4 linked regions of the Arabidopsis thaliana genome follow. The protein of the gene in region 1 interacts with the protein of each later gene in a pairwise test. Each region holds a gene or a part of one and is shown in the gene's direction. Other genes may lie near its edges. The genes, in order: AT2G32380, AT2G28990, AT1G61610 and RXW8.

The links.
Region 2: the proteins of AT2G32380 (region 1) and AT2G28990 interact in a protein complementation assay, tested with the Arabidopsis thaliana proteins (one large-scale study listed by BioGRID).
Region 3: the proteins of AT2G32380 (region 1) and AT1G61610 interact in a protein complementation assay, tested with the Arabidopsis thaliana proteins (one large-scale study listed by BioGRID).
Region 4: the proteins of AT2G32380 (region 1) and RXW8 interact in a protein complementation assay, tested with the Arabidopsis thaliana proteins (one large-scale study listed by BioGRID).

What each region holds. Positions count from the first base shown.
Region 1 is NC_003071.7:13,746,044-13,749,473, reverse strand, and holds AT2G32380 (Transmembrane protein 97, Putative), read left to right. Parts: upstream 1-1,663; 5' UTR 1,664-1,743; coding exon 1,744-2,067; intron 2,068-2,499; coding exon 2,500-2,682; 3' UTR 2,683-2,908; downstream 2,909-3,430. Other genes in the region: GLR3.5 (glutamate receptor 3.5), read left to right, coding at 44-453, 530-1,006.
Region 2 is NC_003071.7:12,452,665-12,460,240, forward strand, and holds AT2G28990 (Leucine-rich repeat protein kinase family protein), read left to right. Parts: upstream 1-1,972; 5' UTR 1,973-2,390; coding exon 2,391-2,460; intron 2,461-2,575; coding exon 2,576-3,113; intron 3,114-3,711; coding exon 3,712-4,187; intron 4,188-4,318; coding exon 4,319-4,463; intron 4,464-4,541; coding exon 4,542-4,613; intron 4,614-4,707; coding exon 4,708-4,779; intron 4,780-4,858; coding exon 4,859-4,936; intron 4,937-5,153; coding exon 5,154-5,314; intron 5,315-5,401; coding exon 5,402-5,652; intron 5,653-5,735; coding exon 5,736-5,862; intron 5,863-5,977; coding exon 5,978-6,043; intron 6,044-6,196; coding exon 6,197-6,386; intron 6,387-6,468; coding exon 6,469-6,877; 3' UTR 6,878-7,041; downstream 7,042-7,576.
Region 3 is NC_003070.9:22,731,776-22,737,386, forward strand, and holds AT1G61610 (S-locus lectin protein kinase family protein), read left to right. Parts: upstream 1-1,583; 5' UTR 1,584-1,696; coding exon 1,697-3,002; intron 3,003-3,084; coding exon 3,085-3,195; intron 3,196-3,273; coding exon 3,274-3,479; intron 3,480-3,567; coding exon 3,568-3,778; intron 3,779-3,854; coding exon 3,855-4,092; intron 4,093-4,180; coding exon 4,181-4,328; coding exon of another isoform or gene 4,329-4,367; exon of another isoform or gene 4,368-4,425; coding exon 4,426-4,734; 3' UTR 4,735-5,083; downstream 5,084-5,611.
Region 4 is NC_003070.9:21,730,627-21,738,585, forward strand, and holds the start of RXW8 (GDSL-like lipase/acylhydrolase superfamily protein), read left to right. Parts: upstream 1-1,939; 5' UTR 1,940-2,177; intron 2,178-2,791; exon of another isoform or gene 2,792-2,828; 5' UTR 2,829-2,916; coding exon 2,917-3,197; exon of another isoform or gene 3,198-3,294; coding exon 3,295-3,441; intron 3,442-3,544; coding exon 3,545-3,608; intron 3,609-3,732; coding exon 3,733-3,942; intron 3,943-4,571; coding exon 4,572-4,766; intron 4,767-5,191; coding exon 5,192-5,490; intron 5,491-5,711; coding exon 5,712-5,988; intron 5,989-6,314; coding exon 6,315-6,590; intron 6,591-6,884; coding exon 6,885-7,118; intron 7,119-7,203; coding exon 7,204-7,381; intron 7,382-7,459; coding exon 7,460-7,539; 3' UTR 7,540-7,959. Other genes in the region: AT1G58525 (GDSL-like lipase/acylhydrolase superfamily protein), read left to right, coding at 1-67, 170-425, 546-718. UniProt on the Arabidopsis thaliana protein: Acts as an osmosensitive calcium-permeable cation channel.

The sequences.
Region 1 (3,430 bases):
AGGTCGCAAGGTGTTTTATTCTTCTTCCTTTGTTGATCTTCAGGGGAGAATACGGTGAGCACGTTGGGAAGGTTTGTGCTACTCGTATGGTTATTTGTGGTTCTAATCATCAACTCAAGCTACACAGCCAGTCTCACTTCAATCCTCACCGTTCAACAGCTAACATCTCGGATAGAAGGAATGGACACTTTAATAGCAAGCAACGAACCCATTGGAGTCCAAGATGGTACCTTTGCGTGGAAATTTCTGGTCAATGAACTTAACATAGCTCCATCAAGAATCATTCCGCTTAAAGACGAAGAAGAATATCTCTCTGCTCTTCAACGTGGTCCCAGAGGCGGTGGCGTGGCAGCCATTGTCGACGAGCTTCCTTACATTAAAGCTCTCTTGTCAAACAGCAACTGCAAGTTTCGAACAGTTGGACAGGAATTCACTCGGACAGGCTGGGGATTTGTATGTGAAAACCAACTTCAATTTTTTAAGATCAGTCTCTGTTAAAACTTTGCTTAATGGATCTCGATTCTTGCAGGCGTTCCAGAGAGACTCTCCTCTAGCTGTGGACATGTCGACAGCGATCCTGCAACTGGCTGAAGAAGGAAAACTCGAGAAAATCCGCAAGAAATGGCTTACCTACGACCACGAATGTACAATGCAGATTTCAGATACAGAAAACTATCAAATATCGGTACAGAGTTTCTGGGGACTCTTCCTAATATGTGGCGTCGTTTGGTTCATTGCACTCACACTCTTCTGCTGGAAAGTTTTCTGGCAATACCAACGGTTAAGACCAGAAGAGAGTGATGAAGTACAGGCGAGGAGCGAGGAGGCTGGTTCTTCTAGAGGGAAAAGTTTGAGAGCAGTGAGTTTCAAGGATTTGATCAAAGTTGTTGATAAGAGAGAAGCAGAGATTAAGGAGATGCTTAAGGAGAAGAGCAGTAAGAAACTCAAAGATGGCCAAAGTTCAGCTGAGAATTCGCAGTCGAAAGATCACGAAACTCCACAGTGAGATATATAATAACGAGTTACACAATTTGTTTAATGACTGCAGATATAACATTACACTTAGAAAGGTACATAGATTTATTACATAGATAGAGATAAAAATGCAAAACAATTTCCCTACCATCTTGCAAGACGAACAAGTGAACTGAGTCATGGTTTCAATACCAAGTAGTCTCAACATTTTAAAAGATCTAAAACGTAACACTAAGAAATGTACCTTGCTAAAGAATTTGCTTAAGGCAATGCAAGGTTGTAACTTGCAAGTGTGTTTACGAATATGATTCCTCCAAGGCGTGAGAGATAAGGAATTTTGAAATGATCATGTCTTTAGACTCCCTGAAAAATAAAAAATAAAACATCTGCAAATTCAAGAGTCGAAAGTTATTAGAACCGTAGAGTTCACATTTTTCTAGACTATGTAGAGGATGTGAAACTTATTCAAATGTTTAGAACTTAAGATTTTGTAACAGATCATGGGCTCTCTTAATTAGTGTAGTCCTTCGGGTGACTATTTTTTCTGGATACTATATACATCCTCCGAGGAAGATTATGGGCCTAAGGCCCGGTAGTGTTCGAATTTACCACTGAATCAAACCGGAAAAATGGTAGCCGTTTAAACCGGTTCGCTTTAATTTAGATTTGGCCAATTATTAAGTAGCCGGCTCTTCGTTTCCGCGGTCAACGACAGATTAAAGCAGAGAGAAAAACAAAATCCATTGAAGAAGGAGAAGAAGAAAAAAAATGGGAGCATTTTGCAAGTTGATCGATGCGGTTCTCTTCTTATACTTTGCTCTCATGGCGGTAATTGCGCCGCTTATCGACGGTCAAACGAGTCTTCCCGGCGATATCTTCCCGGCGTTTATCGTCGATCTGAATCGCTGGTACATTGATGAATTTGGAGATTATCTAGTCAAAGAGAAGCCGCATTTCCTAGTCGGACTCGTCTGGCATGAGCTTTTGCTTCTTTGGCCGCTCTCAATCGTCAACGTCTACGCAATTCTCGCTGGGAAATCGTGGTTTGGTACCACCTCAATGGTGTACGGAGCTTCCGTCGTGACTTCTATGGTACATTTAGATCTTAATCTCGCTGTTTCTGATCAATTTGGATATAACGTGTTTGATTTAGAGTAAGATTTTGTTGATTTATGGATCTGAAATCTGAGATTAATGAAGATTATAGGAGAAATGATTATTGGTGATCAATGTTAAAGTCTGTGAAACTGGACCATTACAAAGTATGAACTAGGAGCAGACTAGTGAAATTTGTATAATGCTTGATTCAAGATTTCATTTGGTTCCCTAAAATCACAACATTGTATGTTGATGAGGGAGAGAGATTTTGAGTTTCTACTATGTTGAATGACTAGTTTCATGGTTATTAGAATTAGTAACGTTATCGAACTTATACTTATTGTTCTGCAATGTGAATCTTTCCGCATTCATTGCTAATATGCCTTGTGATGAAGAATCTGATATTGAGTATTCATTACTTATTAGGCTGCTATACTGGGAGAGATGATAGGATCAGGGAAGGCATCTGAGAAATTGTTGATGATGTATGTGCCATTCATGGGTGTTGGTATTCTAGCTCTTCTTCGTGGTCTTCTTTCTCAATCCAACAAAAGTGGTGGAGCTGTTGGCAAGAGACCTGCTATTTTGGCCAGGAGAAAGCGTGCTTGAGGTACACTTGATGATCAGCAAGTGTATCTTTTGACTCTGAGAATTTCTGCTATAGGTGGATTTGGCTTTTCAAACAGAAAATTTTGAACCTTTGTGATGTATTCTTCCTGTTTTTTTAGCAATATCATGTCATCTGTGTTCTTGTTTGAAATTAAATGAAGTTAAACTGAAAATATTTTACAGTTCACTTCACCAAAAGGTCTACATTGTTGGGTCTTGACAAATCACACGTTGTGATTCCCATTCCCAAAAGGTCTACATGTTCAGCACAGATTTCTTAGTCTTGTTGGGTTTGGTCAATCTAAAACCATAGGCAACGCGCAACAGCCAAAAACTCTTTAAGCTCTCTTGCAAAACAGAGAGTCTTGGGAAGAAAAGGTGTGAAGTTTTGATAAACCAAACTACAGAAATAGACAACAAAAACAATACAAAAGAAATATCCATACTCTAGAAGAAGATCTAAAGTCAATAGAAAGAAAACAAAAAACAAATTTGAAACTCAAATAGAGAAAAAGAGTACTCAATAACTTCATAAAGGTTTCCAAGTCCAACAATGACAAGGAAACAAACAGACTCAACTGAAACAACGAAAGGTTCCATGTCCAACAATGACAAGGAAACAAACAGACTCAACTGAAATAACAAAAGGTTTCCAAGTCCAACAATGACAAGGAAACCAAAGACTCGAATGAAATAACAAAAGGTTCCAAGTCCAACAATGACAAGGAAACCAAAGACTCAACTGAAA
Region 2 (7,576 bases), 1.3 Mb from region 1:
CCCACAAAATACGTCTCTCCTCCACAAAATTTGAAGCATAAATAAAAGAACAAAAGAATTCTTCTTCTTTACCTTCCAACAGAATCGAACATGTTATCATTTGACTACTCTTAAATACCGGAGTTAGTCGAGCATTGTCCCTCCAAACAACCCAAATGCGGCCTAACCGATGTGATTCATAATTAGTTATAGACGACCAACCACTAAAAATAGACGAAAGTAGTTCAGCTGATCTGCCCTCCTTGACTCTCGTCTCCAGAAGACAACCAAATTGCATAGAACTGTGATTCACCCAACTTTTGATAATGGAATGTTTAGAAGATTTATTTAGACCACGGACATTCCAAAAGAAACCCGACATAAAAATTATTTCTTTTTATGAGCCCTATGACCTGAAACACTAGGGTTACCCTTCGTGTTTTGATTCGCAGAGCTTTTGACCACCTTATGCTGAGACTTTGAGATTCGTGGGATGTACGGACGAGTCCCTTGAACACCAACTGAATCTGAATTATCATTTAATTGTTGGGAGAGAACAACAATTTCTCCTTCCTCATGACCGTTTGTGTCAGCCGTGTCCTCCTCCACTGCTAGGACATCAAAACGAGAAGGAGACGCATGATTAACTACTTCTTGAGGTTGAGGACTCCTCTGCCTGCCTACCTTAGCAGGCGATACCGTGTGCCAGGGACCTTCGTCCTTCAAATTTTCCTCGTTTTCCTCTGCAACTTCCTTTCCCTTATTCTGTAAAACAGTCGGATTCTTCATTGGAACTTTCTGAGTGTGAGAATCACCGTTTAGCGTTTTTGTCAAAGTAGCCGAAGGAGATTTCGATAGTATTTCGAGAGGTTTTTCTTTCATGAGAGGAGGCTCTGTTTTATCCTCTGTTTCTATCTCCGTTGGTGTGGATAGCTGATTGGGTGATGGACGCGTTAGACAAACCTCTTGTATATGTCCCCACTTAGAGCATGAAGAGCATCTCGGCGGCAACCAAGGATACTTATATTCGACCATTGCATCAACGCCAGTTTCAGATTTAAAGCGGAATTGTTTTGGCATTTCCTGTGTTAAATCTGCTTCTACAAATACCTTAGCTTCCTCAAAACTGTTGCACAGAACTGTGTCAGGGTGAAGCTTTTTTGGTTCCCCAATAGGACTTGCAAGAAAACTCAGACCCTTCCAAGTAAACATTGAGCGTGGAACATTTTTAATGGTGATCCACATTGGCATTGTTTTAATTTCTGGCTGAGCATCCTCAGCAACCGGGGACCATTTAGAAACGATCATAGGCATGTCAGCTATGTTCCACATTCCTCTGCGAAGAACCCTAGCTCGGACTGAACTCTCTCTGATTCGGAATTTGATTGTTTTAGTGTCTACCACATATGCGTCAATCTTTACCGTCTTGTCTCCAAGTGGCCAGATCTTGTTCACAATAACGTGAACTTTTGCAATATGCGGAGATATTTGTGGAAACCGCCCTATGAGCAAATCATCCCACAATGGTGTTGAATCTTCAAAGATTTCATTTGGGACTTGGACAATCGAATCACCGTTGACCATTGTTACGTTGAATTCATGCTTCGAAAGGGTTGGTCTATTCTGAACAATTGATGAGTATGATGGTTTGGTCGTTTCTGGGGAAGCTTCTGAACTTTTCGATGTGCTCTCCACCACCATCGCCGTCGACATGATGGGGGAAGACGGCGGAAAAGCCGCCAGATCTGCCAGATTGGGACACACGGTAGTGAAACCCTAAATCGCCTTCAAAATCGCCCTGCCACGTCAGCCCTAATTTTTTACCTTTGATTGATTGGTCTATGATTAGTTTGCCGCTGAAAAAATCAACAAAATATAATGTGTCAGTGAATAACATGATTTTTCTTTTTAATCAAAAAACATGATCTTTGTATACTAATTCTGAAACTTAATTATATATATTCGATCCAATCTAGTAAACTAGTTTATAGGACGGGATCCAAACGAAATACTTATCCACGAAAGAAACCTTTATATATCTTTGTGCTCGAAAGTTTTCTCATTCGTTATTTTGGTGGCTGACTACTAAATGAAGATATACCAAATGATTTTTCTTCACTCAAGCAATTTAAGCACATAGACAAAGTAAGATCATCTGGCGATAAACCATACATTCGTGGAGGAAATATTCCTACACATGACGAGTCTCCTGAACATATACAACTATTCAACACCAGATTGATTATTTCCACGATCATTATTTAATTTTCTACCCGGAGTTGACTTTTGTATATTTCATTCCAACTTATACATGAGGTATCTCTCAGTTCCATATCTTTTGCAGTTTTCCCTAAGCAAGTCTTTGTTTTTTCTTGAGTACTAGAGAAACCGGATAGTGATCGAGAGAGAACATGAAGATTCACCTTTTGTTGGCCATGATTGGAACCTTTGTCGTTATAATTGGAGCCCAGGATCAAGAAGGTAATGATATATACCATCTCTTTCTTGTTTATAAATCAATCCTTTGACTTGTGATATGTTATATAAGAATGTATCAATATCACTTTTCCCATTTATTGCTTTTATATTTGAACAGGTTTCATCAGTTTAGATTGTGGATTACCTAGTGACGAATCTCCTTACGATGATTCGTTTAACGGATTAACATTCACATCGGATTCCACTTTCATCCAAACAGGAAAAATTGATAGTGTCGATAAAGATCTTAACATAAACTTATCAAAACAATATTTGACTCTTAGATACTTCCCAGAAGGAAAACGTAATTGTTATAGTCTTGATGTCAAGCGTGGCACAACTTATCTCATCGTGGTTAGCTTTGTATATGGAAATTATGATGGTCTTAACCGTGATCCAAACTTCGATATCCATCTTGGTCCCAATAAGTGGAAAAGAATAGATTTGGATGGAGAGAAAGAAGGTACAAGAGAAGAGATCATACACAAAGCCAGGTCAAACTCTTTGGATATTTGTCTTGTTAAGACAGGAGAAACTTTGCCAATAATTTCAGCCATAGAAATACGGCCACTAAGGAATAATACGTATGTTACACAATCTGGTTCGCTGATGATGTCTTTCCGGGTTTATCTTAGCAATTCAGATGCATCTATAAGGTAAGTCAATCTATTTGAAGCATTCAATGTGACGTTTTTCTTTTGAATAAAATTTAACATTATTCTTTTAAAAAATGTGAGGTTTTTCTCTCTTTTTTTTTCTGGAGAAGATATGAATGAGGGGATATGTTGACTTTACTTGTGTTAAAAACATCATTGTTGAATGATGTGTTCAAAATTTTAAGACTCCAACGTAACTACATTATGCCAAAACTATATGGCAAGTCATTGTAACAATTGAACAAAGAACTAAGAACAACGAACTAGAAATAAAAGATACTAATATGAGCTAAGAAAACAAATTTTTTTTTTCTTTTTTTTGTTCACAATTAAAACTAAATTAATTAATTGAAAGAAAATAAGCAAGAACCAAACAACCAAATCAAACATACAAAAGACTAACATTATTGTAAATCAAACTAAACAAGCAACGATAAATGAAATTGAATGATTGAATTCATTATTAAAAAAACGAGCCAAGGTGATTGACTCGGATAGTTGCCAACTAACTTAGTTTTTGGTATCTTAGTTTCATAGACTAGTATTTGGCTAATACAATTTACTTATTAATTTATGTGGCTAATAAAATTTATTGTAGGTATGCTGATGACGTCCATGATCGTATTTGGTCTCCATTCAACGGATCTTCACATACACATATAACAACTGATCTCAATATAAACAACTCAAATGCATATGAGATTCCAAAAAATATACTCCAAACTGCTGCCATACCAAGAAACGCCAGTGCGCCGCTGATTATTACGTGGGATCCACTACCCATTAATGCGGAGGTATACTTGTACATGCACTTTGCGGAGATTCAAACCCTTGAAGCCAACGAGACGAGGCAGTTTGACGTTATCTTGAGAGGAAACTTTAATCATTCAGGATTTAGTCCAACCAAGTTAAAGGTATTTACATTATACACAGAAGAACCAATGAAATGTGGTTCAGAAGGTTGTTATTTACAGCTAGTAAAAACACCGAACTCAACTCTGCCACCTCTGATCAACGCTATTGAGGCATACAGTGTTATCGAGTTCTCACAATTGGAAACAAGTCTTAGTGATGGTACGTACCTCTCAGCTTTCAATATTACAGGAATGTAACTTATATTATAAAGTATAAGCTATGATATTGATTCTTACATTATATTATAAAGTATGATATTGATTGTTACGTTCTCTTAATAATTGTGTCAGTGGACGCTATCAAGAACATCAAAAATACTTATAAGCTGAATAAAATCACTTGGCAAGGAGATCCATGTCTCCCTCAAGATTTGTCGTGGGAAAGTATTAGATGCACCTACGTAGATGGCTCCACTTCACCAACAATCATTTCCTTGTAATGTCATTCACAAACTTACTCTTTAATTTAAAATTTAAATATCTAAATATTTTGTATGTGTTTTTGTATTATTAGAGATTTGTCGAAAAGTGGATTAAATGGGAGTATACCCCAAATTTTACAAAATTTCACGCAATTACAAGAACTGTAAGTATCTCTACTGTTGATCACCTGAACCAATAATGATTTATTTGGACAGAATATGTAAGACAATTTCTTTTGTTTGTGCATATAACCACAGGGACTTATCAAATAATAGCTTGACTGGACCGGTGCCTATCTTCCTTGCCAACATGAAAACGTTATCTTTAATGTAAGCTATCTAAAAAGCATAAATGAACATTTTGACCTGCGTATGTATGTATATATAATGGTTATCTTTGTCTCAACAGAAACTTAAGTGGGAACAATCTCAGTGGTTCAGTTCCTCAAGCTCTTCTTGACAAAGAAAAAGAAGGACTTGTGTTAAAGTAAGATTTCCTTTTCCATAGAGGGAATGCATTTACTAATCATATAGTAACAAAGTAGAGGAACTTCATTTTTGGAGACTATTTAACTGCTAGATCTTTCTTAATTAAGAGAGTTCATGTCGATTAAATTATCGCAAAATATGGTACCTGACAGTTCGATTATTGCCTTTCCTATGCAAGCTATTTACAATTTCAAAATATGTCATATTCATTGTAGACTTGAAGGAAATCCAGATTTGTGCAAATCCAGTTTTTGCAATACCGAAAAGAAAAATAAATTCTTGCTCCCGGTTATTGCATCAGCTGCCTCTTTGGTTATTGTAGTTGTGGTTGTGGCTCTTTTTTTTGTCTTCCGAAAGAAGAAGGCCAGCCCTTCAAGTAAGTTATGAGCCATTAATAATTTGTTTACCTGCTATAAAGCAATGCATATAGTTAGCATATAACCAAATATACTATCATATGTAGATCTACATGCTCCACCAAGTATGCCTGTATCGAATCCCGGGCACAATAGTCAATCAGAATCATCATTCACATCGAAAAAAATTAGGTTTACTTACTCTGAGGTTCAAGAAATGACAAATAACTTCGATAAAGCTCTCGGTGAAGGAGGATTTGGAGTCGTGTATCATGGTTTTGTTAATGTTATTGAACAAGTAGCAGTTAAATTGCTATCACAATCATCTTCTCAAGGCTATAAGCATTTCAAGGCAGAGGTACCCTTTTTCTAGTAATTCTCAATAGATATCCAATTGATTTGTATATCTCTAAGAGTGTTGGATGATGGATGATTGGTTAGGTGGAACTCCTTATGAGAGTTCACCATATAAATTTGGTGAGTCTTGTTGGGTATTGTGATGAAGGAGAACACTTGGCTCTTATTTATGAATACATGCCAAATGGAGACTTAAAGCAACATTTGTCAGGTAATATCACATATATAATTGTTTTCTTAATAAAACCTAACCATGATATAATTTTTTTTTCTGAATAATTAAAGATCATAACTAAATTGATATGAAGTGTGTTTAATTGATACAGGAAAGCATGGCGGATTCGTCCTGAGCTGGGAAAGTAGACTAAAAATAGTTTTGGATGCAGCACTAGGTATTCATTAAACTTTAAGACAAATGTTTAGTTAATAATTACAGCTTTTATGGGTATTAGTATGGCCTCGACCGGATCAGAAAGGAACCATATGATGATATCGAAATTAATCTCCATTTTCCAATAAACGATGGTATTAAATTTAATATGTAGGATTGGAGTATTTACATACTGGATGTGTACCACCAATGGTTCACAGAGATATCAAAACTACGAATATACTTCTAGATCAACATCTCCAAGCTAAATTAGCTGATTTTGGGCTTTCAAGATCTTTTCCCATCGGAAATGAGAAAAATGTGTCAACTGTTGTTGCTGGTACTCCTGGATATCTTGATCCTGAGTGAGTATAACTTCATATGTTAGTTCCAAAATCACCATTCCTTTTTTTTACTTTACAATCACAACAATTTCTTGTTTTGCAGGTATTATCAAACAAATTGGTTGACAGAAAAGAGTGATATATACAGTTTCGGAATTGTACTGTTAGAGATAATTTCAAACCGTCCTATAATCCAGCAATCCCGTGAAAAGCCTCACATAGTGGAATGGGTCAGTTTTATGATAACAAAAGGAGATCTTAGAAGTATTATGGATCCAAACCTCCACCAAGATTATGATATTGGTTCTGTCTGGAAGGCCATTGAATTAGCAATGTCATGTGTGAGTCTTTCTTCTGCAAGACGACCAAACATGTCTCGAGTTGTGAATGAATTAAAAGAATGTCTTATATCCGAAACCTCTAGGATAGGTGAGGGACGAGACATGGAATCAAAAGGTTCAATGGAATTCAGCAGAGACATTTATAATGAGGTAATACCTCAAGCTCGCTAGCTCGTCAAAATTTATTCTTGCTGGTTTTTCTTCTCATGAATATTCAAATTTGTGTGTTTCAAGAGTGTCTTTCGCCAATAATAACTAAGGCTTTCACTAATAACATGTAATACTGATGTTGAATTGTCGTAGTGTGATATATATTTTGTGAAATACATATGGTGAAATTTATTGAAATTATTTCATGAATTTGTAACCCACAACTAATTCTCGTCTTTGTTTCTATCTCAAGAAATGCATTAGGTTGTTCCCACTTTCGGTATTTTGAAAACCAAAGGAAGAGTTGAATATACCAAAACTTATGTATTTCCTTCAAAACTTAAGAGCTGTTTATATTTCCTTCAAAAGAAGATAAATAAAGAAGATATAAATGGTCTAATAAACCAAAAGTTGGTCAAAATTTAGTCTAAATATAAAACATGAACGTAATAGAACTTGTTTACAAGCGTATATCTCGTTGATCCTGAGTTTAATAAGATGTATAATAGTAAATGTTACGAAGAACTCCAATAATGAAATATCACAAGACAGATTTATCTTGTGGAGAGGGTTCATCATGTAAATGTTTTTTTTTTTTTCACCATGTAAAGTTGGTAATTCTTGTTGTATATTGTTTTAACGAAGACACACTTCGACCTAGTCTAGTACACAACCAGTGGAGATTTAAAACAACATCTATCATTCAAATTGGACAAAGAA
Region 3 (5,611 bases), on another chromosome or scaffold:
GTACGACTGAAGAATCCACAAACCATTAGAAAGAATTGTGTTCATTTGAAGCATTTGACAATCTTGATTTCTTTGTTTTTCTTTCGTTGAGAATTATTGATTCAAAAATGAAAAGCATGACAATGTACAAAGGTTTATAGCGTTATCTATGTATTTCACCCTTTGGTTTTTGGGTAGAGCGTATTTCAAACCTGCAGGACTAGTGTTTAAAGTTTTGGTTATAAATGTGTAAAATTTACAAGGGCTTTGAATGTTTCGTAGATTTTGTAAGAGTTTTTGGATTTTGTTTTTCAAAAACTTATTTTCATACCAATCAAGATTTTAAAATTTTGGTTTCCCTACAATTTAGAAAAACTATTTTGTTGTAATTTTCCATTTATGATTTTAGTTTTTTAGTTTTCCTAAAATTTAGGAAATTTAGTTTTTACTTCATCAACGTTATTTATCTCAAAAACTAAAAACCAATTTTTGGGATTTTTAAAACAAATATATAATAACAAAAATCTAAAACTAAAATCTAAAATCTAGAAACTAAAATCTAAATCCAAAAACTGAATCGAAAATCAGCATCCATTCAGGGCCAAGATCTCCAAATTTTACCAGTTGCAAAAATGATGGATGAGAAATATTGTAAAAGTTGATTCATTTTTACATACTTTTTTTATTTATCAATAACGTGAAATTTATTAGTGTTTTTTAAATAACAACTGTCATGTTATTTTAACCGATATCACACTGTTTGATATGAAATCACATTATTTCTTCAAATCAAATGCAAAACACACACACACACCATTTATTTAAGGTTTTGCTATATATATATATATATATTTTTTTTTTTAATAACAAATTTGCTGAAAATTTCTTATCTATAAACCAAAATAAAAATAAAAATAAAAATCTAAGCATATGATAAAGCCATGTTTAAAATGGGTTTGTACCAAACTAGGCTATAAGACGAGGACTTACACGAGTAATAAGTGGTGGGGCAATATAATTCTCCAAAAGTCATGCCTTCGCCAGTATCATGTCACTCACTGTCGGAAAATGTAGTTTATTTGCTTCCTCACACGCATGTCAATGAGTGAATCTGCGCAAGAGGAACTTGTGCTTCGTAATGCAGCTAGATTATATTCATCACAAAATTTGAATTATGCATATTTCCATAATTGCGTTTTGTAAGGTGAAAACGCCACTCAACAATAGAATTTACAGTTTTTCTTCACCAATAAATTTTTGAACTCATAAAAATAAAATTGTACTGTTGTGCCCCAATCTATATTGATTACCATTCTACATTAGTATTTTTATGTATTTAGAATATTTATTTATTTTGGATGTTTTCAACCACCCAAATGAAGAAGGTCGTATTCTCAATAAGAGATAAAAATCAATTGATATATCCTTTTCTTGCCTTAAAAGTCACAATTTTGCACTATAAAATCAAAAGTCTTAAATAAAACGTGAAAGTTCATATTCTTGTCAACACGAATTCGTCGGTTGTCCTTTTCATTCGTTGGTATTTGTTTTTGGAGATGATTTCCACTATTTTCCTCAATTTTAAAGACGACTTTTCTCGTTAAATTGAGAAAGACCAAACTAGTCTACATGAAACTTCGATAGCCACTATTTTTGTTCTTTTCTTTCTTTTCCTTCTTGTTATATACAGATCTCTGAAGCTCAAATCATCTCAAATATGGCAGGATTTAACAGAAACCTTACTTTGGTGACGACTCTTTTGATATTCCATCAACTATGTAGCAACGTATCTTGCTCCACAAGCAACTCATTCACTAGAAACCACACAATACGAGAGGGAGACTCACTGATCAGCGAGGATGAAAGCTTCGAGCTTGGATTCTTCACCCCCAAAAATTCGACGTTAAGGTATGTTGGAATATGGTACAAGAACATAGAACCTCAAACAGTTGTTTGGGTTGCGAATAGAGAGAAGCCGTTGTTGGATCACAAGGGAGCTCTAAAGATTGCAGATGACGGAAATTTGGTGATCGTGAACGGTCAAAACGAAACCATTTGGTCCACAAATGTCGAGCCCGAGTCAAACAACACGGTTGCTGTTCTGTTCAAAACAGGGGATTTGGTTCTGTGTTCAGACTCAGACAGAAGAAAATGGTATTGGGAGAGTTTTAACAATCCAACCGACACTTTCTTGCCCGGTATGAGGGTTCGGGTGAATCCTTCGCTTGGAGAAAATCGCGCATTTATCCCGTGGAAATCCGAGAGTGATCCTTCACCAGGAAAGTATTCAATGGGGATTGATCCTGTGGGAGCACTAGAGATTGTGATTTGGGAAGGGGAAAAGAGAAAATGGCGTAGCGGACCGTGGAATTCGGCTATCTTTACCGGTATACCTGATATGCTCCGTTTCACAAATTATATTTACGGGTTTAAGCTCTCTTCTCCTCCTGATAGAGATGGTAGCGTGTACTTCACGTATGTTGCCTCAGATAGTTCCGATTTCTTGAGGTTTTGGATTAGGCCTGATGGCGTAGAAGAGCAGTTCAGATGGAATAAGGATATCAGGAACTGGAATTTGCTTCAATGGAAACCAAGCACGGAATGTGAGAAGTATAACCGTTGTGGTAATTACAGTGTATGTGATGATAGTAAGGAGTTTGATTCCGGTAAATGCAGTTGCATTGATGGATTTGAGCCGGTTCATCAGGATCAATGGAACAACAGGGACTTCTCAGGTGGCTGCCAAAGAAGAGTTCCTTTGAACTGTAATCAGAGTCTGGTTGCAGGTCAAGAGGATGGGTTTACGGTACTTAAGGGAATAAAGGTGCCTGATTTTGGATCAGTTGTTTTACATAACAACTCAGAGACCTGTAAAGATGTATGCGCAAGGGACTGTTCTTGTAAGGCTTATGCGTTAGTAGTAGGGATCGGATGCATGATTTGGACCCGTGATTTGATCGATATGGAACATTTTGAACGCGGTGGAAACTCTATCAACATCCGGCTAGCGGGTTCTAAACTAGGTTTGGAAAAATGTTTAAGCTATCATATAACATTGTGAAAGATTTAAACATGACTAATCTGTTTCTTTTGTTGTGTATACAGGTGGTGGGAAGGAAAATTCAACACTTTGGATAATTGTTTTCAGTGTTATAGGAGCATTCTTACTAGGATTATGCATTTGGATCTTATGGAAGTTTAAGAAAAGCCTTAAAGGTAAAGTCTCTATTCGTACATAGTCTTGTTTCACAAGAATTAAACTACTGAGACTGTCAATTACTCCATGATCTGCAGCTTTCTTGTGGAAGAAGAAAGATATCACAGTTTCTGATATCATAGAGAACAGAGATTACTCAAGCTCGCCGATCAAAGTTCTAGTAGGGGATCAAGTTGACACACCCGATTTACCAATATTCAGTTTTGACAGCGTAGCCTCAGCTACTGGAGATTTCGCTGAAGAGAACAAGCTTGGACAGGGCGGATTCGGTACTGTATATAAGGTAGAAAATGATTTTTTTTTTCTGACAATAATACTGGATAATAAAACTTTGCTTTGTATGCAAAAACTTATGTGTTATGTTTGGACAGGGAAACTTTTCAGAAGGAAGAGAGATTGCAGTGAAGAGACTATCAGGGAAATCTAAACAAGGACTAGAGGAGTTCAAGAACGAGATCTTACTAATCGCGAAACTCCAGCATCGGAATCTTGTTAGATTACTAGGATGTTGCATTGAAGACAATGAGAAGATGCTTCTCTATGAATATATGCCAAACAAGAGTTTGGACCGCTTTCTTTTTGGTATGTTTTTTTCTAAACAATTTCAATTAAAATGTTTTGAAAATGTTCGGATTGAGTATATAATGACTCTGCGCAGATGAGAGTAAACAAGGAAGTTTGGACTGGAGAAAACGATGGGAGGTCATTGGAGGAATCGCGAGGGGATTACTTTACTTACATAGAGACTCAAGACTAAAGATCATTCACCGTGACCTAAAAGCTAGCAATATCTTGCTAGACACGGAAATGAATCCAAAGATCTCGGATTTCGGTATGGCTAGGATATTCAACTACCGACAAGACCATGCCAACACAATCCGAGTCGTCGGCACATAGTAACTTAACAAACCTCTTTATCTCCTCTAAATTAAACAATATCGAACTCTATCAATTTTTAATGATTTTGATGTTCAACAAGTGTAGTGGTTATATGGCTCCGGAGTATGCAATGGAAGGGATATTCTCAGAGAAATCAGATGTGTATAGCTTTGGAGTGTTGATATTGGAGATTGTGAGTGGAAGAAAAAACGTTAGCTTTCGAGGGACTGATCATGGAAGTCTCATTGGTTATGTACGTCTCTTTTCTTTAACCATAAATTTTCAGGTCTAACTAAAATATTCGAATATTTGTTACTAATGAATGTTCTAAACGGAAAAAAAAAAATAAGGCGTGGCATTTATGGAGCCAAGGAAAGACAAAAGAGATGATAGATCCAATTGTGAAGGACACTAGAGACGTGACGGAAGCGATGAGATGCATCCACGTGGGTATGTTGTGTACACAAGACTCGGTCATTCACAGACCAAACATGGGTTCGGTTTTGTTGATGTTGGAGAGTCAAACCAGTCAACTTCCACCCCCGAGACAGCCGACCTTCCACTCGTTCTTGAACTCTGGTGACATTGAACTCAACTTTGACGGTCACGATGTTGCCTCCGTTAACGATGTTACTTTCACAACAATTGTTGGTAGATGACTCACTGACCAGAAGTTATTTTTCCCCAAAACGCTCTTTGACTATCCATTTGGTCTCGAACTCTTTTCTCCATAGTTTTCAACTTTTTATACATAATTAAATTCTTCGTTGAAAATATTATAATACATGTACATTGACGATGAAAAACTAATCGGATTTGTACACAACATACTTTTAGCAACAAAAGAGAAGAAGCTCAACAACATACTTAATTGTGAAGAAAAAAGCGTTGTTGTTCGAACATGAATTGGAGAAGTTGGAATATGGACAAAGGTAGTGGCATCGAAGGAGGAATTTCCAGTGATTTGAGATTTAATGAGTTTTAAGATGATTTTGTTGAATTTTAGGGAATTAGAAAATTTGTTATTAAATTTATAAAAATCTTCCCTTAAATCATATGATTTGGACATTTGTATTCTTAATTTTTTTTTTTTTGACATCTCACATATTTCTTTTTTAAAAAACTGTAAAACCATAAAAAAAAAAAAATTATTTACGGTTTCTATATGATTATAGCTTTTATAAAACTAAAAACCGTAAAACCAAAAAACCGAAGTGAAACCAAACCGAAAAACGGTATGCCCATCCCTAGGGCTAGTAATGAAATCAACACTCTTGAAGTGGAGTTATCTACATTTTTATGTTTGATTATAAATTATATTTTTCCACCCATTTGTAAAAATCCTATTTAAAAGAGAAAATTTTCATTTATAACTAAGTTCTCATTTGTGAACAATGTTGGTTGATTTGATTCTACATTTTAAAATTAATAATCCAATAACACTTGAGTTTTACAAACTTTTTAAATTCATGTTTGAATAACACAAGATTTTAATACAAATCACACCAAAACCTTTATTCAAGATTTTATTTTACC
Region 4 (7,959 bases), on another chromosome or scaffold:
AGCTCATAGATATGACCGTACCTCTTATGCCAATTTCTTGGCTGACTCTGCTGTCCATTTCGTGAGAGTAAGTATTTTATTCGTAGTTATATATAATAATACATAAACTAATCAATAATATATTGTTATATCCACTAACTATTTTATCTTATCTATAACTGATAATTAGGAATTACATAAGCTTGGAGCTCGAAAAATTGGAGTGTTTAGTGCAGTCCCCGTTGGTTGTGTTCCATTACAAAGAACAGTTTTTGGAGGTTTTTTTACAAGAGGATGTAATGAACCTCTAAACAACATGGCAAAACAATTCAACGCAAGACTTTCTCCAGCATTAGATTCTTTAGATAAAGAGTTGGATGGTGTTATCCTTTACATTAATGTTTATGATACTCTTTTTGACATGATCCAACACCCTAAAAAATACGGTAAGTTCATCTAACAGATTTATCTATATAGAAACTATATATTATAATTCATTTTTATTGTCGAACTAAATTTTATTCCAATTATCTCATTTCTTTTAGGTTTTGACGTAGCCGATAAAGGATGTTGCGGTAAAGGACTGCTCACAATATCCTATTTATGTAACTCATTGAACCCATTTACGTGTTCTAATTCTTCATCATACATATTTTGGGATAGCTATCATCCATCTGAAAGAGCTTATCAAGTTATCGTCGACAATTTACTCGATAAATATTTGAGCAAAGTCTATTGATGTTGAGGAATCAAAGAAAATTGTATCTTTTTGTTTCAAATTTTTTTTCATCTTAATTCATGTCTCACTATGTATTCATATCTTAAATTTTAAATATTCATTCTTTTTCTATAATAATATTTGGTGGGATAAAGATAAATATTTTCAACGGAAAAATATACAATCAAATAGTGGAATTTTATACGTTTTAGACTATTTTATTCCTTTTGTAACATACTAGTATAATAATACCCAAAATAGTATACATATGTTACTTTCATAAGAAAAAAAAAAAAAAACTATTCTACAGTACTTAGGCCTGGGCAAAAGAACCGCTAACCGATTAACCGAACCGAGCCGAACCGAAAAACATGGTTCGGTTCGGGTTTGGATAGCTTAAAATAACCGGCTGGATATTATATGTTTTAGATTTCGGTTTCGGTTTTGGTTAGGTTAGTAACCGATAACCAAAGGATAACCAAAGCATATATGTATGATAGATAATATATCACATATATTGTATGTATTGACACTTAACTATGTTCTTCTCTTTATTAGTTTGCAAGTTGAATTTTGTGAGTTGTGAATCAGGTATTTTAATATTATGGAGAGTATGGACCATATTTGCATCTTTGTGAGTTGTGAATATATCTTTTTTTACGTACGTTCTATATCGGTTATTGGTCAATTTTTTTTTTTTGTTTCGGTTTTTAGTCGGTTATTTCGGTTTTGGTTTATTTATGGTTACCAAGTTTAATATCCGAACCGAACCGAACCGAAAGATATCCGAATCGAACCGAACCAAAATTCCTCAAATATCCAAAATGGTTCTTATATTACTATAACCGAAATAACCGAAACCATGCGCAACCGAACCGAAACCGAATGGTTAACCGAATGTCCAGGCCTAGTAGTACTATATTGAATAAAACTTTTATGTCATACTCATGCATATCTCACTTGCAACAAGAAACACATGAATCCAAAATCCATGATTCCTTCTTCACCTTTCCTTTAATTTTTCAATAGTCATAACAGTTTTAACTAACACTTGAGCGAACGTTGTGAAAAAAAACGCACCCACACGTGTCGCTATCTTACCCATTCTATCACAAAACCAACGGTCATAATAAATTCGACCACAGAGTAGTCGCTCTCACATAGTATCAAATCTTGGAGCATCAACCATTTTATAACCGACACGTGGCCTAATCGTCGCTCCCTTCTTCACCGGCCACACAACGTGGCCTAATCATTTGTATTTAATTTTAATTATTTGCATGTTTTCATTTTAAGTTATGATTTGAATGAACTGGAAATGCGAACTCTTCGCGGAATTGGAATTTTAAAAGCAATTCGGTGTTTCATTTTTTTTTTTTTCTCTTCTCTTCTCTGCGAATTCTTAGGGTTTCTGAATCTTCTGGTTCTCTTCGCAATCGAATTCTCTGAAGTCAAACCAAAGTTTTTGGTATTTCTCTCTGTAAGTCATGTTTTTTTTTTTTTTTCTGAAATCTCTTCGATTTGGTTTATTCTGTTATACAACTTCGTGTTGTATCTGTAATTTTTCTGACGAATTGGATTTGATGATTTTGCTTCGATTGATTTCCCTGGGAATCGAAATTGTGTTTGTTTCACTGGATTTAGTGGAATGCGATTCTCTGATTCATTGTTTGTTCTACGTTTCCGCGTTTTCATCTATCGTAGTTCTACTTTATTGTTTAGGCACCATTGAAATTGCGAATCGTAATTTTGATTAACGGAAAACAGAAATTGATAACTTGAAATTGAATCTCAGTGCATTATGTTGTTTGTTATCTTTGGGTCGTATGTAACCAACTTATCTTCCTCTGCAAGTTTAGGTACTGATTATGATTTGATTCATGTTTCCAATTTTTCGTATCTGCAATGCAAATGCAGAAAGTTTTGGTTAGTGTTAAGATAGTTTGGATTCAACTTACACGTTTGATCGACGATTGTTTATCAGTCTCTTTCGCGGTGTTTCGTTAGCCTATCTGTTTTTTTAAGCATTGGATTTCAGGACTTTTGTTATTTCGATGTTCTTATCTTTTTTCTTTTTGTGATGTTTTCTTACAGTTTCTCCTGCCAATCTAAGAACCTCCTGTATTGCTAGGTTGGCCATCTTGTGACGAGACGACGTACTTATGAAGTTCTTCTCTTCCTGCGATTTTTAGTCAGGAAGGAGTTGAACTAAGATTAAGATGGAGATATCAGCTCTTCTTACATCTGCTGGAATTAATATTTCGATATGCATAGTTCTTTTATCACTTTACTCCATACTTAGGAAACAGCCAGCCAATTACTGTGTATATTTTGGCCGAAGGCTTGTTTGTGGTGGTGCTAGACGTTATGATCCTTTTTGGTATGAGAGGTTTGTGCCGTCTCCAAGTTGGCTTGTGAAAGCATGGGAGACTAGTGAAGACGAGTTATTAGCTGCTGCTGGTCTTGATGCTGTCGTCTTCCTTAGGATGGTCATTTTCAGGTTACTGAAAATAAACTCTCCCAGATGCTTTTTCTTTGTTCTGCTTCTTGGTTTTGTTCTGTAGTGTTTGTTTTACTTTGTGTTTTTTGTTCTGCAGCATTCGTATTTTCTTTATAGTTGCTGTTATTTGCATTGCCTTTGTGCTGCCTGTTAATTATTATGGGCAACCGATGGTGCATAAGGAAATCCATTTGGAGTCATCCGAAGTGTTTACAATTGAAAATCTTAAAGAAGGCTCAAAATGGTAAATGTTTTTTTTTATCTCTACCTATGTCTCTTTGAAAGATGTTACTCTATGCAGAGTGTGTAAAGTGCTGATTTTTTCTCATTACATTTATTGCTCTCAGGCTGTGGGTTCATTGTCTTGCACTGTACATTATAACCTCAGCGGCATGTCTTCTGCTCTACTTTGTGAGGACCTCGTACCTTAGTTTATCTCATGCATACAGCATACTTGAATACTTACTCTTGGTTCCTCCATGTATCTTCTTATTAGTTTATTTCCCAACCTTTTGACATTTTTTTTATACTGTAGGAGTATAGCACCATAGCTAAAATGAGGCTTGGGCATATTACTGGATGTGCCTCAAAGCCAAGTCAATTTACCGTTCTTATCCGTGCTATTCCATGGTCTCCTGAGCAATCTTACAGCGACACGCTGAGCAAATTCTTCACAAACTACTACTCGTCCAGCTACGTGTCCCACCAAATGGTCTACCATAATGGCATCATTCAGAGACTGCTGGTACGTATATTTCTTGGAACAGTCATTTTTAACTAAACTATTACGCAGGCCACCTTCCTCTTGCTTTACTTGTCAGATTAAAACCGTCACCTAGATTTATTTTAAAAAACTGTTATTGCTCTTTGTGAAAATGATTTGAAGTTTTGAACATTTTGCCAGCTTTAAGTGTTACTTCTTATTGCAGTATTCATTTTGGTTGATAGCTTTCGTAGTTGGTGTAAATTTCATGGTTCTGAATTGTTATGTGCTGCTTGGATGTTATAAAGGGTTATTTGATGACTAGATGCAGAGATTGATGATATTACATAGCACAGTAGATATAATAATGAAATTTAGTTCGTGTATCAGCTAAAAGGGGTACAGTTTAGATGCATATTCTGGGAATATGAAAGGACCTTCTAGAGCAACTCTGTCTGTATCCTACTGCTGGGCTTTCATTCTACTGCTTTCTGATACTGTGGTTATTTCAGTATCACTACATCAGTTTCTCATTTATTACCTGTCAGCATGTTGTAGAAATTGGGTAAATGATATGTGGATGGTTTGTGCTTGTGATAAAGTATTTGAAATTTAATGTTCTATGTCAGATAAAAAGTGTGACGTTTAGATTATTCCAATTTCTGTCTCAGCGTGATGCGGAGAGGATGTGCCAGACTCTAAAACACGTTTCTCCTGAAATCAATTGTAAACCGAGTTTAAGGCCATGCACCTTTTGTGGAGGACCTACAGCCACAAGTTCTTTTCATATCCTATCGAATGAGGCAGACAGTGTGAAAGGAATGGAGCTTGGTGAGTTGACTATGACTACGACTACGACAGAGCAAGTAAGGAATTCTTCTGTCTTTCCCTGATCTAGGCATAGGATGTGGATATCTGTTATTTCTTCTGTCCAGTGGAGAGGATCGTTTCAACTAACATTACAAACTGATTTAGAAGTTTCCACTGCATTTCTTCTCAGTTTTTCACCTGGTCCTGACAGATAAAGACTTCTTTTACTTTAATGGGATACAAATTGAACTTTGGAAGTGGCAGTCTGATTGTCTGATACTGCATAGACTTGTATAGTTTTGTTTACTCGGTACAGTTTTAAACCATCATTAATGATTTGTAGCACCATATTCGACAATTCAGTATAGTTAACTAAGATTTTTCACTTTTGTGGTAGCGATTAGAAGTAGCAATGCTTGATTTTAATTAGTCACAATATAGAATAGCTTACTAAAGCCACAAAATTTTCTGCGTTTTGCAGGAACGTTCAGCTGCTTTTGTGTTTTTTAAGACTCGCTATGATGCTCTTGTTGTTTCGGAGGTTCTACAATCATCAAATCCTATGTTATGGGTGACAGACTTAGCCCCAGAACCTCATGATGTGTACTGGAAGAATCTCAACATTCCTTATCGACAACTTTGGATACGGAAAATAGCAACCCTTGTTGGTGCAGTTGCTTTCATGTTTGTGTTTCTTATTCCCGTTACCTTCATTCAAGGGCTGACTCAACTAGTGCAGCTGTCTCACGCATTTCCTTTTCTAAGAGGCATCTTGAGCAAGTGAGTGCCCTGCTGGTTCCTTACGCATGTATATATATATGGTTTTGTTTCTTCTGGACATGATATTAGAATTGGCGTTAAAAAGTAGGCGGAACTCCGGTGCAGTATAGAACACACGAGCCTTCTCTATAGCTTTCAAACCATTGGAGAAATCAAAATTTATGTTCTTGATTTGTTTTATCATCTTTCAAGTTAATCGGGCCACCAAAACCATTTTGCAGGAACTTTATAAACCAGGTCATCACAGGGTACTTACCCAGTGTGATCTTGATTCTATTTTTCTATGCCGTTCCACCATTGATGATGTATTTTTCGGCCTTGGAGGGATGTATTTCACGGAGTATAAGGAAGAAGAGTGCTTGCATCAAAGTCTTATATTTTACCATTTGGAATGTGTTCTTCGTGAATATATTATCAGGGTCTGTTATCAGGCAACTGAATGTCTTTTCTAGTGTCAGAGACATACCTGCACAACTTGCTAGAGCAGTGCCAACACAGGTAATTTACCCATAGTCCTTTTACATTTCAGAGCAAAAGTTTGAATTTTGCTAATGTTCAGGTTTCTACAGTCTCTGAACATTAGCTAGGTTACATTTTGCCAAGATCTTGCAGCTTTCGGATTGGATATAGTGTTTTCTTGCGCTGGAACTTTAATAGTTTGTTCTTTTTCCTCGTTCCATGATAAAATTATATATCAGAGATATTAAAGCCCATTGGAGGAATTATTTGGGATTGAGCTTTTCTGGTTGCTTGTGTTTCATATTTATTAGGAAAAATGAAAATTGTATCATTGATTTTGAATATGGCTTTAACCATGTATGCAGGCTGGCTTCTTCATGACCTATTGTTTCACATCTGGTTGGGCCAGTTTGGCTTGTGAAATAATGCAGCCTATGGCTCTTATCTGGAATCTGGTAGCAAAAGTTGTTACCAAGAACGAGGATGAGTCATATGAAACACTTAGGTTCCCATACCACACCGAAATTCCTCGGCTGCTTTTGTTTGGGCTCCTGGGTTTCACCAATTCAGTCATAGCACCACTGATACTGCCGTTTTTGCTGATATACTTTTTCCTTGCATATCTCATATACAAAAATCAAGTAAGTGTGTTCTCTGATCTCTTGTACATAATATCACAGTTAATCTCTCCAAAAGCATCATAATGGACTTGTACCTAATTTGTGAAAGCTTAGTTACTTTGTGACCTGCATGTTTTAGATGGAAATTGGATTTGTGCTTTTCGGAATTTTGCTTCTGCAATGTTTATAGTCATGTACAATGTGATAAGAGCCATTAGTAGTGCCAAGCTCATGCATTGAGTAAAAAGAACTCTTGATATATATTTTTAAAGACAACCCTTTGTAGATGCTCAACAGAATTGTTTCTATTTGCAGATACTCAACGTGTATATTACGAAGTACGAAAGCGGTGGACAATACTGGCCTATTTTCCACAACACAACAATCTTTTCACTGATCTTGACACAGATTATAGCTTTGGGGTTTTTCGGATTAAAGCTATCAACAGTTGCTTCGGGTTTCACCATACCGTTAATTCTTCTCACGTTACTTTTTAGTGAGTATTGTCGGCAGAGGTTTGCGCCCATTTTCAACAAAAATCCTGCCCAGGTATATTAAATGTAACCAAAACCTTTGATGTTCCTACTGCAGTTTATGCGTCTTCTCGGTGCTTGATTGATGTGTTTCTTTTCAGGTTCTCATAGATATGGACAGAGCTGATGAAATATCAGGAAAGATGGAAGAGTTACATAAAAAATTGCATAATGTATACTCGCAGATACCATTACACTCTCAGAAATCATCGAGTAAAGCTGAATGTAGTAATCCTTTCAAAAAGCAGGAGTTACCAGATCCTGAAAAATTGAAGCCAGGTTTCGAGTTTATATCACTGTTTGTGTATGATTATAGATATCACTTGATTAGAGACTAATGAGATTTATATTTTTCAGAGGAGGGGGATGCGATAGCTAAAGAGTTATGGGGATTCCAAGGCAATGAATCTGGTCAAGAACATGACACTAAGTCCTGAGCATCTTTCTCCAAAGAAGATCGAACTTCACAAACGGAACTAGACAGATGTTTTTACTAGTGAAGTGCCTATGTGTTGGTTCAATCACAAAGTCTCCAACAAATCAGTGCATTAAGCACAAGAGTTCTCTCGTAGGCATGCTCAGCTGCAAAACCAATGTTACTGGGAATACTTTCACTCACTTGAAGAAAAGTAGATGTAAGTTTTTCTGGGATATTTGATAATTTCTTCAATGAAAATTCCTATACAAATTATATGGGGGAAACATGTACAGTCTTGTTGCCAAGATAAAAATGTACATCTTATAGTTACTGCAAGAAGAAATGGAACTTCTTTATAGAGCTCAGAGTATGAGAAACTAAAACTATCAATCTCTTTGATGAGATGGCCATTTTTCAGTTGTTCATCTATGGAAATTAT